Arabidopsis thaliana: one gene and its partner. The protein of the gene in region 1 interacts with the protein of each later gene in a pairwise test. Each region holds a gene or a part of one and is shown on either strand. Other genes may lie near its edges.

Region 1 (7,530 bases):
GTTAGCTTCTACTTTGTTTTTGTTTAGACGGTGACAAACTTAACGGCGTTTGTAAACGTCAAATCAGTGCAGGTGGATTTGGTTGGCTTTTTACACTTACCCTAAAGTAAACAAAAGTGTTTAGGTGTGAACAAGTTTTTATATTGGTGTTAAAAGCCAATATTCTACTTTTGTCTGTTAATTTGGGAAATAAGAAGAAAGAGATATATATGTTTGGATTAATCGTCACTTCCATCTAACTCAAATCTTTTATATGTTTCCCCAAATGATTACAATAATTTCCCGGATTTGCCTTTAACTAAAGATCCTTGGAAAATAGAATATTACCCCTAGGGTTTAAGAAGGAATCACAAGTTAGGAGAAAAGTCTTTGTTTGTAGATAATGTTTGGTCCTAACTCCAAACAGTCCATCAAATCAGATATATGATGAAACTCTTTTTTCTTTTTGCTTCGACCAGTTAGTGTTGTTTCAAAACTAAGTTGGCCACAGTTACTGTTGTTTTGAAACTAACATGGATTGATCTTAGTTCATCATCAATTTTCAAGCAATGGAAATCAGTGAGTGAGTCACGAAAATGGAAACCTATCCTTTATACTGATAGGATATCCAAAGAACTTGTGTATCAACTTCACAAGAACAATCATTCTTCGCTTAAAACACAAATTCAGATACAAGAGACTTGTATTTTCATTTCAACGCCTTAAAACAGGGTCAACTATGCATGATGCGGAACTAAAGATGTATTAAAAGATCTACAAGACGTGTTCCTATGGCTAAGGTACATTACACAAGAGATGCATCATTCATCTACACAAACAACACGCACTCTTGATCTGGTCTCAGTTCACTTTCCCTCTTCTCTTCAGGTACTCTTGCATGCAACTTTGGTTTGTTTCAAATATAAAAGGCATTCCCCGTATCTGCGCGCACATATATCGGGTTTAAGTACGGACCTAGAAGCGTAAGTAATGATCATAAAAGAGTATCCCGGATCAAACCTCAACTAGACAATCGGATTTGAGGATTAAACTCTGTCCAGGATCTACTTCCTTCTCATTTACTGAGATTGAATACTTCCCCAGGTTTTTTATATGAAACGAACCGTCATCACCCAGCCGTATGATCGCCTGCATTCAGTAACCCAAAAAGGAAAAAAACATACACAACAACCATTACAGATCCTGGGCTGCTGCTTCTCATACAACTTAAAGACCTAAAATACAAATAGAAGTATCTACTATTGACCGACCTGTCGTCGAGATATTTTGCTACCCCGCTTTTCTCTTCCCAAATCAATGTCCACAGCGAGGTCTTCTGTTGATCTACCCACCAAAACCTATGTTAAGAAAAAAGAACCCCGATATCAACAAGTGCTACTATAATTCTTAAGAAGCTTATCAAATCATACAAGGAATATTAAACGAATAAGATAATATTACCTCAGGCTTCTTGATATAGTGTTTTGAATATCTGCCATATAAAACAGCGAATGCACCACGGGAAGCAATGGCTCTTTGCATATATGAATGAGCAGCCTGCTCAAGTCTTATGATTGTTCTTTTCATGTCTTGGCTCTGATACTTGGAGACTGCAAGTGAAAACATTTTAGGGATTTACAAACAAGCCTTAAACCTCTTCTAACATCTCATACGCTACCCATAGAAAAGGTTTCCCACATCACTGCAGCATGTAATAACTTTTAGGAGCCAAATGCCGAAATACATTCCTATTCACATACTAAAAGCTTTCTTTTCCCAAAAATGTAGATAGATAGAAAGAAACATGAGTTCCACTGGACGAGAAGGGACGCTCAACTACCTTCGAGATCAAAATTATCTTGATCATCAGGTTCCAAGTCCATGTCAAGTATCTGAAATAAAAAAGAGTGTTATGGATTAGGTGTTTACGTGTCATGGAACCATAGCACAAGAATAAAGATGGAAGTCAAGAGTTACCATAGCCTCAATGTCAGAATAATTGGGTAAGTCCTCATCACTCTCACAAACATGCGCTTCTGCTTCTGCTTCTGCTTCTGCACGGGTGATCTCCAGCTCAGGGACTGTAATCTCTATCAAGCCATCATCAGTATCTTTAGCATGTGGCGATTCATTAACAGGTGGTACAACATTTTTCTCTTTACAATTTTCACTATCCTTCTCTGGGTGGTTGCCATGGCCATCAGATCCGACAAAGAGTGTTCCAGTAGCAGTTTCTTTCTTTCCATCTTTTGCACCGGTACCAGTAGAAAGTAGAGTATTAGAGCAAGCCTGTGCAGAGGAAGAACCACCAGGAGCTACAGTATTCTTTAACTCAGTACTAGTCGATGCCCTGAATTTGCTACCTTTACTTGGTTGGCCCATCTCTGGCTTTCCTTGAGTAGACCCCTGTAAACGTCCTGGTTTTTTCTTTTGAGCCTGGAGTGAATATCCCTCACTTTTTTCCTTACTGGCGGAGACGTCTCTTACACATGTAGTTATTGGACTATTGGTATCCTTAAAGTTCCGCCGGGCTAAAGAAGAAACTGACATCGGACGGGAGTTGTTGGACAGGAAAATGTCATCATTACACGGAATATCAGGATCCTCTTCGTTTAATAAACAGCAGATTACACCCCCAACAATCTCAGGATGAGGATCTAAAGCGATTGTACCATCTAGCTCAAGCATCACATGATCATCCAGGGTTGCCTCTCCTGGATGAGTTGGTGCAATGGAAGGTTCTTGCTCGGTGGGGTTAGGAAAAGCCTCGCGGTTTGTATCATTTGTAGAGTTCACCAACAGTGAGCTAAGACCATCATAATATGACTTGTCAACTTCTTTGCCATCTACTTCCATGAACGGTTCCATGTCTTCTTCGAAAAGAGAAGTTGAAAGCTGTGCCAGGAAATCAGTGCTAGCCATTGTGTTTTTTGCCTCGTGAGCAGTATTCTCTAGTTTCTGCTCGGAATCTTGATGAACCACATCACATACTGATAGACCTGCGTGTTCAGTGAATGTGAGATTTTCTCCTTCTACGTAAGGAATGTCTCCCTGTAAATTATCTTCTGGCAGAACATGAGTTGTCACGCAACCACCTTCAGCCAAGATTTCTGGAAACGCGTTGTGGATAATATCCATGTGAGAGTCCTCAAGACCAAGATGTGTTGCATCACCATTATCCATGAAATGGCTATCATTTGGTGGAACGAGGAAACCTAGATCCAAGGAATTGAATGGCTCAGTCCTAAATTTCTTCCGCAAGGAATGATAAGTACTTCTGAGCCTTTCAGCATTCCTCTTCCTAGATGAACTTTTGTTTTCTTTTGAATATCCAGTTCTACCAAACTTAGTAGGAAAATTAGGGTTAGTACGTTCAAGCTCAGCCATCCGAAAAGCCGCCTCTACAGAAACTACTGGATCATAAAGCAGTGCATGCCATCGATCTTGCAATTCTCTAATAGAAAATCTTCTAGAAAACTGCACAGCACCTTTAGCAAGCGATTCCAAAGAAGCACCAGCCTGCAAATAAATTAAGGATTCTGGTTCACTTAATTGCAAGATTACCAGACAAGCTGAAAGAAGAAACACGCAATACATACATACAGAAGCACTAATTTAGTAGAGAAACTTTTTGGCTAGCCTAGCTTGATATATAAAATGCTATATGAGAGAAGCAATGAACATAATTATCTATCTTGTGGTGATTGATGAGCCATCTGTAAAAAGACAAAAGGATATTTTTTCAATCATATTATGTTCTCATAACTGAACAGAAAACCAAATTTAAGAAAAAATATTTGACAGTCTTTTCCCCGTGGAGAGAAGCATGATACATACAGATCATCAGTGATCACACAGCAATATATTATGTTCCTCGCGAAATGGTATAATTTGTTCTAGAGCAACAATTATACCTTGCCACATCAAGATTGTGTAACTTGTTTCCCATAATACTATACTATACCGCATATAACACTGGCTTAAGATGTTAACAGGATCAAACAAAAAGCTGACATGGTTATTCAACTAAATTTTGATATCTGCAACCAACCTTTTGTCCCGAAAATTCAAGTTATCACAAGACATGAAAAGGAAAAAAATGCAACCAAAACAATATTAATAGATGATAGAATCAACTAGATAGGCATCTCTTTTAGGAAAGAAAATTACTGATAATAACCTGCCTCAAAGGATATGTCGTACTCTCCAATCCCCTCAAAATCAACTATAGATACAAGCAACTATGAAGAAGAAAGCCTAGAAACATCATGAGCGACAGAACTGATAGTCATTAATGTTCCAACTAGACAACTACTTCAATTTAAGCAAAATTGATACAGCTCTGCAAACAAGCATGGTAGAATAAGAAAACTACATGATCATTGAACTACATAAAGCGCGTGAAAGGACAGGAAATTGAGACAAATATTGAGATCAAACCCATGGCTCAATCCAACATAATCCATTTCCGGTAGTAAAATAATGAAAACTGAAATGTAACCAAACTCAATGAAATGGGAGCTCACCTCGACAGCATTCTTTAGCAGCAGGTCGTCTTCGGGTATCCACGGAACAACTTGAGCAAGAGCCCCCATGTTCACTGCACAACCAGACCTTTACTTCTCTCAGGAAAGCGTAACGTAGAAGGGGTCTAAGAGATGGTGACAGAACACAAAACCTAATTAAACGAAATCAAAATCAGACAGATGTAGGCAACAATATCATCAGAAGTGATTCAAATTTGGTTTTCTCTACGGTGAACAACACTAACAAAGACGACGCTATTACTTGGTCTAGCACTACTTGAAATGGAATTAATGGGTTTCTCTTTCTCACCGTTAAGCTCTTCTAGTAATCTGAAGCATTCTTCTAGGTTTCGTTTTGCAATAGGGTTTAAGAACGTAAGAGAAACAGAAAATGTTTAAGAAAAGGAGTTACAATACCTTGAATCAGCAAAGAAGGATGTTTTGTCAATCTCGGGAACAACAAGAGTGAGGTTCAATAGCCTAGCAACAGTAACCATGTCACAAAACTGGAACAACAAGTATCAGGATTTGGATAAATTATTGAAATTAGACAAAGATCGAAAAAAAAATAGTTAATTAAGAAAGTGACGAACCACGATTCGCAGTTGATTTAGTCAGCCATTACAGGATACAAGTAGAATTTCATTGCTTTGGTTATGTACTGTAGGTAAAAAATCAATACTCTCGTTAAATTCTCAAGCTCCAAAGAAGACGCACATACAATTTTTTCGAAATTCTCACAAGTTGATATCACAATTTATAGATAGAGAATTTAGAAAACTCAAGACGAAAGTAACTAACTTGAGGGAAGAAGAGGAGGAGGAGGAGGCGGCAATTCACTGGCTCGAATTGAAGAGATAAAATCTAAAAAATCTGAAACCCTAATTTATATCTGACTGTCTCCGTCGTCCGGAGGCGAGAGTGTGTAAAGAAGAAGATAAAGCACGTTTGAGAATGGAACGACACCGTTTTGGATATATGTGATTTTTTTACTTTGCTCTTCTTTTAACTCCTTTTTCTGAAACTAAACTTCAAATGCTTATTTCCCGGAAAAACAGCCTCTTTCAACACATTTCGTTTGTTGTTGTAATTTATACTCTTTTAGATGATAGATATTAGTTCATATTTTTTAAATGTACTTCTAAACTAATATTAGTAGGATTAATAAAATTTGAACTTTAAATATTTTTTATATATTTTATAAATCCTCAGATAATCAATAATCATTTCTCGACTTTCATCTTTTTCTCAAATTCTCGACAATGGTTTCTTTATCCTCAAAAATCTGATCTGTCGTCGTACTATTCTTGTTCAGTTCAACTCAATCTATGCCGGAAAAGTGCACTTATCGCTTTACGCCAGAAATTTCATATTGGAAGAAAACGCTGATCTTCAACGTAAAATCGGCGAAGCTGGCGGCTACTTGGCGATGCCTCCAGATTTCAACTATAAACCGCGAAGAGAGGTATATAGTTGACTTAATTTCAATGGATTTTAGGTTACTCGTGTGAAATCTTTGAAGAACTAATTAAGATGGATAAGAGGCGAGAGTTGATAGTAATCTTTGACTTTAATTTCCGTATCTTTTAAGAATTGATTAGGTTTTTAGGTTTTTTAGGCTTGGTTACTCAAGATTTTGCATGATTGCTTGAATCACGATTGATTAGAGGCAAGAATTTTTGTGAATTGATAAAATCAGTACATTGTTTCATAGCAGTTGATGTGAAGTACATTTTTTGGCGGAAAAAATCATTTTTTCATTTTGTTGATTTAAGTATTTTCAAATAGAAGCAAAATAGTCATTAATAATTAAAAGATAATATCAATAAAAATGATTACATGGGAGGATAGTACTAAAAAAACATATTTTTGGAAAAACATTCTTAACAATTTCTCTATATCTAATACGTAAAAACATAGTTTTACATACGAAGTTAAAGATTTAGTTACGTAATTATATGAACAGTTAAAAGACGTGAACATATTAAAGAAAAAAATACTGAAAAAAGCTTTACAAATAGAACGAAGTTGACCTAATTTTGTTGATTATGTAGATTTATTTTCGTAAAAGTGACCTAATTTTGTTGATTCGTGCGTTGGAGTTAGTATATCTTTGTCGTTTGCATAGTATCATCGGCTTTAGGGATTGACTATGTTTATGTTTTTATTTTTGTAAGAGTAGTTACAAGAAAAACTTCATTCAACAAAACAACAAAGACAAATTTTTGTTGTCGCAATTTATACTCTTTGTAGCTGATTGAGTTTGCAAATACTTGCATTTTCCTTTCACATCATCTCTCAATCTCTGTTGGGTTCTTTCTCATTTTGCACTGAAAAGAAATAGAAAGCAGTTCACAGCTGTAGCCGCTTAAGATATCTTAATTTTTAAATTTCACAAGTGCATAGAGTACAATCATGCTTAACAATTTAACATTGCAAGATTAGTGCATTGAAAGTTGAAAACCATCACAATTCACAACATACAGACAACTCTGTTTCTTTGTCCCTTGAGCGCAAATACAACATTTTTGCTTTCTTTATTCAGCAAAATGCCACAGACGAGAACTTAGGTATAATTTCTATATACGTACTTAAGCCTGCATCGGTTTAGAGTGCAGTTTCAGCATCGGTTTCTACTTGCTTCTTAAGGAACTCCAGTACAGAGAGCCGCTGCATGCATGTTAAAATTACATTTGTCAGATAAAGTTTTACTGACATTCAGCAGCTTTGGATAAGATACAAATAAAAAGGGAGTCGTGCAAGAATCTTACCCGTTGCTCGAGAGCAGAATCTTCAGAGTCCAGTTTCAAAGATTCCAGCAGTCTCATGCCTTCCTTGAACCCATCTGTCGCTGCAACTTCATTTTGTAGAGTCCTGTCTATATCCGCAACTTTGGCTAAGGAAACAGCCACATCCAGAATCTACATAAAAAATGTAGAAATAACAAAAGAAATCAATTTCTACTTCCGGACAGACCTTTGCTTACTATATTTGAGTTCCAATTTCTCTAGGCAAGAAATCAAGT
Region 2 (3,591 bases), on another chromosome or scaffold:
TTATTGAGAAGGCTTTTGGCTAAAGAAGAAAAGGGCAAATACATTTTGGGCCAGATTCACTATTAGCCCATTAGTGGTAATGGTTTTGTATAATTGAGGTTAAACAAAACCATAGGTTAAACATTGTAAGATGTATAATTAAGGTTATCAAGAAAGTTTCAGAGATAAGGTGGCTAAACCTACTACTAATTCAACCCAGGTTTGTGAAAAAAGGAGGGTTTTTGATAGCTTTATGAGAATTCAGTTCTAATAGTTTGTTATATGGTTTTGTTAAAAAAATATGTGATGATGATTCAGCCTGTTCTGTTCTGATGGTCTTTGTGAGCTAAGCTTTAGGCTAATGTGGTTGAACACAGCTTTTCGGTCTGATCAAAGTTTTGACAAAGATGGTCCTACTGAGGAGGACCGGCTCAAAAAGTTAACCAGATCAGTTTTTTCACAACCTTTTTTAATAAATCAGTTACTGCTCCACCGGTTCCGCTGGTCGGTACAACATCCCTAGCTAGCTTGACAGCAATTTAACATACTTAAAACATATTAATTCTTTTCAGTTGGTGAAAGTGACAACAAGACCGACCAAGTTAGTTTAACAAAGAAACGCTCATGAAAGCAGCATCTAACAGAGTCATCATAAGTAAAAGAGATCAGGAGATAACCAAATTGCAAGAGAAATATAGCAGTTTTTCAAGTACAGTTGGTAGAACAATTGTCTCAATTTCGATCCAAAAGAAAGACTTTTGATCAATTAAGGTAAAACCAATATGGAAATTTTAAGCAATAGTTATGCTGATCAAAATGTACAATTATGAAAACCAAGAATCTGGATTGAAAAATTAGAACTTTTATAATTCAAACATGTACAAGAGAAGTTAAAAAGCAAAGAGCAAGATGATCAAATTTACAAAAGATGATGATAAACAAAAGTAACCTTGCAAAGTTAGTTATAAACAAGAAAATCAAACAACTTCTTCAGAAGCACCACCACTAGCATCAGAATCTTGCTTTTTCACCACCGCAGAATCAACATCAGGACGGCCAAAATTAGTCGGCGCATCAGGTCCAATCAACTGAATCGCAGCGTTATCATAAGCAAGAGCAGCTTCTTCAGCTGTTTCAAAAGTTCCAAGCCAAATTCGTTCAGGTCTTCCTTTAACTCTACCACATCTAATCTCAGCCGCCCACTTCCCCCATGGTCTCTGCCTCACGCCACGGAACTTCTTCTTATTCGCCGTCGTATTCCTCGCAGCAAGTAAACTCGCCGGAATCCTGATTTTGAACCGAGTTTTTCCGACCTCCGGGGGATCAGAATGATCGATTACGATTTCCTTGACTAGCTTCTTACCTCGACGGCGTGATGACGGTGGTGACTCGTCTTCGCTGCTTGAAGAATCGGTTGCTTCCATGTCTGTGAATGAAATTCGAACAATTCGTTTCATCTTTCGCCGGGAAATTTGACGACGGAGAGGGTTGGTGGTTAGGGTTTGTGTCCGCTTCTTTTAAAAGAAAGATTTGTTTGGTTTATGATTCGATCAGGAGAAGGCTTTGGCTTGTGCGTTACTTAATCCAAAATTAACCGACTTACTGTTTCTCTTATCTTTTAGAATCCGTGTGTAATTATGAGTATTGAACTATTGATCAATCTCATCAAGTCGGTTTTGAATTCAAAATTGATGACCAACAAATATTTCGAAAAATCTGTTTTCGGACAAAAATATTATTAAGTTAATTGGTAAAAAAGTAAAATCATGAAGGAAAAACAAATACTGTATGGATTTTGAATTTCATAACAAGATCATTTTTTTCACTTTTTTTTCTACACAAAGATTGATTTACAACAACAACAACAACAATATTGATTTGAAAAGAAAAAAAGATCTTGGTCTGACTCAGTTGTCTAGTTTTCAAGCCCACCTGAAAGAACCCAAAGTGAGCAGAACTAGTCTGGTTCGCAGAAAACTGGACTTCAAATTCCGAAAAACCTATTTATTTTGGGCCTTAAGAACTTCTTTAAGGCCTTTTAGTGATTCCATGACTATTTTGAATTGACATGTTGTTCTCCTTCAAGGCTTCTCCTTTACTTATTTTGTAGAGAGTGTAGGCTTATTATAGGGACTACTTACTTATATAAGTTGTACCAAGGTAATTTAGTTGGTATAATTTCTAGACTGTAATTTTCAATCATCAATGTATTTTTTCAACTAGGAATTACATAGTCACACTCACATAAGTATCATATGTCATATGATAATTTGATCACTAGGTACTGAAGTGTGTCTACAAGCTATATTTTTTCTCAAACTCAGATTTAGTATATTTGCAATATTGTTTCTCTAATGATGACGAATTAAATTATGTATGGACCGCTAACATATGTGACCACTCAGTTAGAACTTCTCAATGTTTTATTTTATGCATTGTACAATTTCATGAACTCTATCAAAACATTTGTTGTATATGTTTATTTTACAAAGATAGTTTTGGTACCCTATAGTTGCTTAGTTAACTTGCTTATACCCTAAATCTTAATCAACAAGAAAACGTAAAACCCACTCAGTGAATCAAATTATCAACCAATTAACGTAAAACGCATGATATCATGTTTTATAAGATGTGTTATGTGTAAGACCAGGTTTGAAAAAGTGTGAAATAATATAATATTACTCTTCGATTGATCCTTAATTGCGATATCTTTCGTATGATTTCAACTATATATGACGCACTTACAAGTTACAACGATATTAATTATATTAATATCGTTTTCTCATATATTCATATATGCATATGATATGACTGAATTATTTATTATTCGCCTCCACAAGTTACAGGACTATAAATTATTCATCTCCAGAAGTTGCGTTGCACCACTAAATATGAAGAGAAGATAAAACCGAACAGGTAAAAGGGACGTTTACCAAAATATCAACCTAATCTTCCCCTAAACCAAATTTTTCCAATTAAGTTTATTCTTAAGCACAATCAACTCTCTGTTACTTTAAAGTATTCTCGTGACCACTGATTGTTTTTCCTGGTGTATAAGTAAGTACCACAAAATATAAGAACATGACATAAGACTCTATAAAATATGTATAACTAAACATTTTTCATTTGTAGCCAGATAAAAGAAATCTATGGGCCGGAAGTCGTATTATTTGACACGGCACTTTTGGTTAACGTATAAACTATCTGATTTTATAAGCTGTCAAAACAAAAAAATGGTAAATTTAACATTCATAAAATATCATGATGTTCCACAGGTCACATCAGTGAAAGACTAAACTTTCTGATTTTTTGTAAAATTGACTATGAGGACATGCATGAATTAATATTCTACGACCACAATTACTTCTCTAATCTGGATTGAAAAATGGCCACCGTATACATTTCTTTAAATAACGTTTTTCAAATTTTATTATAAAATCTAGGGGACTACCATATTATATGTATAAACGTCCATATCCATCTTAGAAATGTTATCAATAATAGGTCTGAAAAATTTCATAGAACCACACTTATTTTGGAGCTGAATTCAATCCCCCAACGTACTTTCTCGTTCTTGTTATGTTTCGTTGTCGCTTTGTTTATATTTCTTCT

Evidence for each region.
Region 2: the proteins of emb1967 (region 1) and CRF7 interact in a two-hybrid assay, tested with the Arabidopsis thaliana proteins (2 studies listed by BioGRID).

The regions. Positions count from the first base shown.
Region 1 is NC_003074.8:20,121,458-20,128,987, forward strand, and holds emb1967 (Forkhead-associated (FHA) domain-containing protein), read right to left. Parts: upstream 5,525-7,530; 5' UTR 5,307-5,524; exon of another isoform or gene 5,167-5,306; 5' UTR 5,099-5,166; intron 5,073-5,098; exon of another isoform or gene 5,012-5,072; 5' UTR 4,923-5,011; intron 4,658-4,922; 5' UTR 4,575-4,657; coding exon 4,506-4,574; intron 3,499-4,505; coding exon 1,957-3,498; intron 1,872-1,956; coding exon 1,820-1,871; intron 1,590-1,819; coding exon 1,441-1,589; intron 1,338-1,440; coding exon 1,251-1,337; intron 1,129-1,250; coding exon 1,000-1,128; intron 922-999; coding exon 841-921; 3' UTR 560-840; downstream 1-559. Other genes in the region: AT3G54360 (zinc ion binding protein), read right to left, coding at 7,113-7,175, 7,277-7,426.
Region 2 is NC_003070.9:8,134,390-8,137,980, forward strand, and holds CRF7 (Integrase-type DNA-binding superfamily protein), read right to left. Parts: upstream 1,646-3,591; 5' UTR 1,437-1,645; coding exon 957-1,436; 3' UTR 791-956; downstream 1-790.